2 linked regions of the Canis lupus familiaris genome follow. The protein of the gene in region 1 interacts with the protein of each later gene in a pairwise test. Links are inferred from orthologs where the notes say so. Each region holds a gene or a part of one and is shown in the gene's direction. Other genes may lie near its edges.

What was found.
Region 2: the proteins of CCDC57 (region 1) and TMEM100 interact in binary tests that used the Homo sapiens proteins (3 or more experiments, as listed by UniProt). The two-hybrid records come from large-scale screens. The link is inferred for Canis lupus familiaris from reciprocal best matches to the Homo sapiens genes CCDC57 and TMEM100.

Annotation. Positions count from the first base shown.
Region 1 is NC_049230.1:986,431-989,930, forward strand, and holds part of CCDC57 (coiled-coil domain-containing protein 57), read left to right. Parts: intron 1-2,133; coding exon 2,134-2,356; intron 2,357-2,981; coding exon 2,982-3,134; intron 3,135-3,500. UniProt on the Homo sapiens protein: Pleiotropic regulator of centriole duplication, mitosis, and ciliogenesis. Critical interface between centrosome and microtubule-mediated cellular processes. Centriole duplication protein required for recruitment of CEP63, CEP152, and PLK4 to the centrosome.
Region 2 is NC_049230.1:30,656,528-30,660,640, reverse strand, and holds the start of TMEM100 (transmembrane protein 100), read left to right. Parts: upstream 1-1,313; 5' UTR 1,314-1,430; intron 1,431-1,650; exon of another isoform or gene 1,651-1,668; intron 1,669-2,443; exon of another isoform or gene 2,444-2,566; intron 2,567-4,113. UniProt on the Homo sapiens protein: Plays a role during embryonic arterial endothelium differentiation and vascular morphogenesis through the ACVRL1 receptor-dependent signaling pathway upon stimulation by bone morphogenetic proteins, such as GDF2/BMP9 and BMP10.

The DNA of each region.
Region 1 (3,500 bases):
GGCCGACCTTCGGGGCGCTGTCCTGCGGCTCTGGTGGCCTCTCCGTGTGGACCTCGTCCATGTTCCCAGGCACGTGCTCTCTCTGGGCAGGTCAGGTCTTGCTATCGGATTTGGAGGTTTTTCCACTTGTGCAGTGACTGTTTTTTACATCATTGTAATTCTTCAAAACACAACGTAAATGGTTGTGTGTCGCACCGCACAGCCCATCCCTTCCGGGCGGCCGCTGAGATGCTCGGCTAGCCCCTGCCACCCTGGTGCGCAGGCTATGCTCATGCGTCCCCGGGAGCTCGCCGACTGGCTGGAGCGCCACTGGGGCTGCAGGGAACCGGGGGCTGCAGACTGGGCGGTACTGGGGCGGCGGCCCCCTCGCACAGTGAGCACAGCTGTGGCCCTGCAGGCCTGTGTCTGTGTGTGTGGGGTGACCCTGCAGGCACGTGTCCATGTGGGGAGGGGACCCCACAGGCCTGTGTCCATGCCGGACGGAGTAGGGTCCTGCAGTCCCATGTCCGTGTGTCAGGGGGACCCTGCAGGCCCGTGTCTGTGCCAGGGGCTCTCCTAGGGCTCAGACCAGGACCAGGCAGTCTGCCGGGCTGCGCTCCCTGCCCCCCTTGTTCAGGCGCCGTGTTTCCCTGCCAGCGGGTCTGCAGACCCTCGTTTCTTGGAGCTCATCTGACTTTCTGGTGTTGACAGCCAGCAGCGGGCCTGCCGCGGTGAAGCCCTGTGCTCAGGGCCGTAGCCTGTGTCGCTGTCATTTCCTCAGGACGCCACCGCTGAGCGTGGATGCGGGGCCGTGGGGCGTCCCCTTCCTGCACGCCGCACGCCCACCCTCCCTCTGTCCCATGGATTCCAGTGGCTGTCATGAGAAGTCAGCAGAAACCTGGTATCTGTGCCTGTGCGTGCCGAGTGTGCTGTGTTCTCATCGCTTTTGGGCATTTTCTATCTCTGATCTGTTTTAGGAATTTGATGATGACGTGCTGTTTGGTGGGATTTTCTTTGTGTTTATCTTGCTTTGAGTTTGGTGGACTTCTTGCATCTGTGGTCCTCTGTTCTCATCAATCCGAAGGTACTGTGGTCAGCGTGTCGTAACTGAAGGACTTCTTCCGCAGAGCCTGTTGATGCTCCCGTCTCTCCCTCCTTCCTGCACCTTCTGGTCTGCTCCCAGGCCATCCTCAGTGAATTTATTATTTCAAATGATGTCTTTCTCGTTTCTCCAGAAATTCTGGTTCTTCTAAAATTATCTTCTGGGGGCTCCTGGGTGACACAGTGATTGAGCATCTACGTTTGGCTCAGGTCCTGACCCCGGGTCCTGGGATTGAGTCCCCACGTGGGGCTCCCTGCTCAGGGGCGTCTGCTTCTCCCCCCGCCCGCCCCATGCACTGGCTCTCTCTCTGAAATAAATAGATCTTTTAAAAAGATAAATAAAATTCTTTTCTGTTCTTTTGCTTTTACGCCCATTTTCCTTCCTTTCCCTGAGTGTGTTTGTGGTTGCAACTGTGCTCAGGTTCTGACGGCCACGGAGCGTGTCTTCACGGTTCACCTGGGGGATCGCGTGTGTCAGGGCTTCACTCCTCTTCATGGCTGAACATTGCTCCATCTTGCCACGTTTTTTTAATTCATTCATCCATTGGTGGATGGTTGTGTTTGCACATTTTGGCTCCTGTGAAAAATGCTGCCGTGAACACGCGTGTGCAGGTTTTGCCGGGGCCATCTGTTTTTGGTTCTCTTGGGCTTATGCTCAGGAGCGGAGTGTGGGTCGGGAGTCACTCTGTGTTTGATCCTTGGAGGAGCCGCCAGACGGTCTTCCATGGCGACGCGCCGTCACACACACGCAGCAGCCCTCCCTGTGGGCACTCTGCCTGCCTGTCTTTTCCACACCAGCTGCCACTGTAGCTGAGAAGGAAGCTGCCTGTCAAACAGTAGGCTCGTCTTCCCAGCGCCTGCTGGGAAGGTTTTCATTGTCCCCGTCAGTTTAGGTGGAAGTTTCCTGCCGCCGGGTGGGCAGACGGGAGGGAGTGCAGATGCGGCCAGCCCTGGATGGGCAGCATGCCACAGGTGTCTTCCTAGCTGTCAGCGTTTTCTTTTCTTTTCTTTTTTTTTTTTTTTTTCTTTTCTTTTCTTTTTTGTATGTGCCAGGTGCTCCTAAGGCATCGTGAAGAAGAAACCAAGGAAAGTTTTCCGTCCTATGAGATCCAGAGGCTCCAGGAGCAAAACACAAGCTTACGAAGGGCTGTTTCAGAGATGAGGAAAGAAATGGAGACTCTGAGTGAGCATGTTCTTCCTCCTGCCCCGTCAGGGGGTCAGGCCGGCGGCCCAGAAGAGCCCCGGCCACATCCAGAGGCAGCTGCGAAGGCTCCTGGTGAGTGAGGGCGAGGGTGGGGGCAGGGGCTGGGGGTACGTGGGTCTCCACGGGTCCCAAAGGGGCTCACTTGGAGTCTGTAAATGAACAACTGCTTTAAAACATCACATCAATGTGTGGCAGCAGCCTTCCCCCGAGAGAGGTTTCGTGGAGTCCGTGTTCACAAAAGGGGTTACAGCGTTTTATTGGTTGGGGACGAGGAGAGCGAAGGGCTGCGTCCTTGGCACTTCCAGCCGGGAGCCCGCTGGCCGGGGAGCTGCTGGGCGCTGTTCAAGTGGCGGGCAGTGTGGGGCTGGGGACGCTGAGCCTCTCCTCGGGGTGTCCTGTGCTGTGGCGGAGCGGGGCCCCACTGGTGGCCCAGGAGTGGCCGTGAGCAGAGGGCCCCAGGCAGCACGGCCCCGCGCGTGAGACGCCGTGCACTCCCACAGACGCCAGTGCGTGGGGGTGAGGGGGTGCTGCCTGTCTGCCTCCTTAGGGAGCGCCCTCGCCGCAGGCGGGGGGGGGGCATTATGGGTGGGCGGGCAGGGAAGCCAGCCACCCCAGCCCGAGTGGGCCTCTACCTAGGTGACGGTGATGGGAGCGTCCGTGTGTGTGCCTGTGCATTTACTGGTTTTTTTGGGGGCAGATCACGTTATGGTCCTTGAAACGGAAATACGAAATCTAAAGGATAAACTTAAAACCCTGGAGGAACAAATAGAAGATGTCTTAGATCCTGCAAAGAGGTCCTCATCTTACGCTGACGTTCAGCCCAGTGTCCACTGCCCGGCTGAGGCCCCCGGTAAGTGTCCTCGTCTCCTCCTGTCGCATGCTCTGTCCCACTGACGCGGCCTTTGTTTTCATTGGAATATAAACGCTACAGCAAGTGCAGGAAATGCAAAGGCACAGGTCAAGGAAGGATCACAGCCGCGGGTCCCTGTTCCCGGTGCCCGGGAGTCCCTGGGCCAGGCTGCTCACCCCTCCATGTGGGCACCTCCCTGCCCCCCACCTGCTCGGCCGCACGCAGATGCCCCCTCAACCTGGCTGGGGCGCTGGCCCAGCGGAGGGTCTACCTGGGGGACTAGGGGGCAGACGCCGGCCAGGCAGGGATGATGTATGGGGAGGGAGGGGGAGCAGGACCCCCACCTCCAGATCACCTGGTCTCCAC
Region 2 (4,113 bases), about 30 Mb from region 1:
CCTTGGTGCTATCAGATCTCTCTAATGTCCTAGACCTCAAAGAAAAGTGCCTAGGGTTGGGGAGTGGTGTGGGGAAAGCAGTAAAAACATGACGTGTTATCCAAAATGAACACACCAGCACAGATCACTTTCCAAAATGTTAGTGATTTCAGAAGATAAATGCAGACACACCCTTAAAAGAAGCATTGGAAAAGAGAAAAACTGGCCAGTTTCCCGAATCTCACTGAATCCAATTGGACTGGGTGATGACCCAGATCAAAGGCATGCAGTGATTGGACAGAGTGCCGGAAGGAACTGGCATCTTCACAGCTGCTGGAAATTAGCCAACTCAACCACACCAAGCAAAAGCAAACTGAAAGTAAATATGGGCGAGTAATTGAATACACATGGAGGTGCTCTCTCTTCACAAAATGCGAAGTTTGTGCGTTCCCAAAGGAGAAATACCCAGGTCTTCAGCAGCATAAAGTCAATGGCAAAATCAAAATGCCTCCCCCCTTTTTCCAGACCAGAGACTGAACCTTGGCTTGTATCGAAGAGAAAGGGGCAAAATGTCCTCTTGGTTATCACCATCTTCCCTGCCCTCCTCTACTTCTGCATCCCCTGCACCTAAATCACTTTGTTTCCAATCTAATTTCTGAATGAAGTAAGATTTTTCAAATTTGGGGAAATTCTCCCCAGAAGAACAAGCTCTGCTATTTATGATGCCTTTGGTGGAAATATTATATGTTGCAGGGTGGTTTCAATTTCCCAGCATCAGACTGATGTTGAAGCCTGGAAATTATATGCTGATTAGGAGTTCAGTTCCTCAGAGATGTGATTTTCCAGAATACCGTTGTTTCCATGGTGCTTTGCCATCCTCTGATGAAAAGTGCTGATAAGATCACCACTGGGACTTCAGGGAAATGGTCCACATAAGGAATCACAAGCCATTTTCACCATGAATCCTCCTCTTCAATTGCTCCTCTTTTTACTTGCATGTTAGGACAAAAGAGATTAATTTACACCCCACTACCCATGCCCACATACCTCCCAAAAACCTGCCTGGAAGTACAGAACAAGGATGACAAATTCTTTTCTGTAGGTTCACAGTAGGAACAGAGGACTACCAGGATGAGGGCTTGGGTAGGGAAAATCTTGAAAATGGAAGCCTGAATGAGGCTATAAAGAGAGTAAAACAAAGTAGGACATTCTTTTCAAACTTGATTCCCTTTTTAAAAATACAGATTACATTCTCATAGAGGGAAACAGAACAAAATGCAGCAGCGCTTAAAGGATTTCCTCTCTCCAAGTTTTTCTCCGGTCCCTTAATTGTGTTCAAGCCTTGTTGAGTACTTTGTTTACGGTCCCTAGTGTGGTGATTTGCATCCCCCCTCTTTGGGTTGCTGTTGGCCGAGCTGGCAGCTGTCTCAGTCCGATTCTGTCTGGGAAAGGTAAGAATCTTTGCCTTGCTTTGTGAAAGATCTGGGAGAGAAATGTTGAATGCCTACAGAGGGGTAGTGTGGGGTGGGGGTGGGGGTGGGGGCACCGATTTAATTCACTCACTGGAAGCTTTCTGAAAAGTTTTCCAAACTTAAAAGAATCCTCTGGAGCCATGTGTTTAAAAAAGAACCAGAAAGACTTCTTCTCCCTTCTGAAAGGCTTGCAGAAAGAAGACTGGTTGCACTGTGGGTAAGATTTTGCATTTGGGGGCAGGTGTCCCTTAAGGAATTCCCAAGGGAGTTTAATAACGGATAGGCACAAAGTGGAAGAAGGTAAAAAAATATTCAATGACCTCAGGCATTCATCACTAGGAATTCTCCCTGAGTTTCAATTTGAAGAGGTAAAAGTCGGTTATAACCGCATGTGTCCATTGGTATAATAATTGGTGCGTATTCTTCATATACAACTTCTGTTTTATCCCAAAGCTTTCTTCGTCTTTGTATTTATCAATACAAATCATTGGTTGTCTCCTTAGAATCTGGAGATGTGCATCTGCATATCTAGGTATATGCACACTCTTTGTGAAGAAGAATTAGGGTGAATGAGATGCCTGGGGCCAGGAAAGGCTGAAGAATGCTTTGGTGTTACTTGTAATGACAGACTTGCTCCTGTTCCCAGCACACAGATGTACTCACTGTCCCCTATTATAGATTCAGCCAAGTGCTCAATGTGGGAAAAGGGTGCCTCTGCTTTCTCTCTGGCAGAAGTTTGATTTGTGTACCTTTGATTTTGGTAACAGGGGAATATGATGTTCAACAGGGTAAGGTGATACTGAGAGCTGCAGTGGGTTTATTGAATTATTTTGGTGGTGGGAAAGAGACCCCTGCTAGGAGATGGAGAGGAACTCTGCCCAGAGCCCAGAGTTTGCAGGTGGGAGGGATTGATGCTCTTATAAGGAGCGTCCCCAAAGCCTCCAGTGTATGTGGCCAGTGACCATATCATCATCTTCCCAGGGCAATGTCGGCAAGTGCTGAAATGCCCTGGTTCTAAGCATCCCTTATCTTCGACACCAAGTGACAGCATTTCTCCTGGATGATGGCTCTGTCTCTCATACAAGTACAAGAATGGCAGCTAGGAGGACCTCCAGGTACTCATCCTCCTCAGCAAGCTAGTGGGGCTCTCCTGACTTGGTGAAGTCAGGCCTCAGGGACTTTTCAGCTTTTTTTTTTTTTAAATGAAAAAAAGCCCCTTCTCTGGCTTCCATTCTAGAGAAAAAGACTTCTGTTCCTTCTCCCTTTATGACAAAATCATCAAGGTATTTTTTACTAGATGCAGGATGCTTAGAACAGAAGGGAGATGTCTGGGAACATCCGGCACCAATAGTTAAAGCAACCTAACAACCCAAGAGAAAGAAGGGAACAAATCTCTTCCGGGATTTAATTTATGTTTGTAGATTCACTGTATTAATTAAAAAGACGTTATTAAAACTTGTACAGATTAAAATATAGAGGACGGATAACTTTGAGCTACACAGTATAGGGATGAGCTTACAATAGTGTCCTAGTGTTATCTCATTTTTCTCTCAAAAAGGCAACCTGCAGCTTTAAAATTTCAAATAGCTTATCTGTAAAAAAAAAAAAAAAGTATAAACCTGTAAGGCCACATAAGGAACAGGTGGATATAGACCTTTAACTTTATTATTTGAGAGTGTGATGCATCAAGCCACCTATACTTGAATGTTTAAAATATCTTGCTCCTGAAAGTGGGCCGAAGAGCAGCAGCATCAGCCAGGAGCTTGTTACAGACCCACTAAATCAGATTCTACATTTAACAAGCTCTCCACATGATTTATGTGCCCATTAAAGACTGGAGTTCAAACCGAGGGTTTTTTTCTTTCTGTGTGCACTTTGTGAGATTATTTAACCCCTCTGGACCTCATTTAGAAACTATTTCTAAACTCATTTGTAAACTAGTGAGAGTTAATGCTAATGCACACACAATGTACTGTCACATCCATAGTAGGTGCTCTGTAAATGACAGCGATGATGGTAATGAGGATGTTGATGAGAATCTCAGCATTGCCAAAAGTGTCCTCACCTCCTAGCAGGAGTATTAAGTGATCATATTTAAAGCAAGATGATTGGTTTCTCCCTCAACCGTAAGCATTTGCATCTCCAACCCTCATTCCTAAGTGAATTAATCTCAAACAATGGGTAGTTTAAAGCTTCGTGTGGCCCCACACACATATAAAGAAAGAATACTGGGGAAGCCTAGGAACATGGATTTTTGCTAGCTTACCGGCTGAATTCAGCTGCCCCATGACTTCACAGCTGTTCCTGCTGCCCTAGCGTCTGTCCCTCCAGCTCTGTCCCCTCAGCTGGGTCTGCAACGCTGACTCTGGGATTTTCTTATGAAAGTGCCTGATGGGTGGGAGGAAGATCTGGAGGCTAGCTGGGGAAAAAATGAGTAATGCAAAGCCGTCTACTTAGTAAATGCTGCAAGAGAAATAAAAGTAAAAGCTGGTTCCTATCTCTGGGGACTCTAGAATGATTCTGACTTATCATGTCACTGAGCGGAGTTGGGGGAAGCCAAAACTCGAAATCTGCTGGCAAGGAAGAGAACGAAGAAAAAAAAAATGACAGGGAGGGGCAATCCAGTGGGGGAGGAAATAAAAAGAGAGAGAGGGAAAGACAA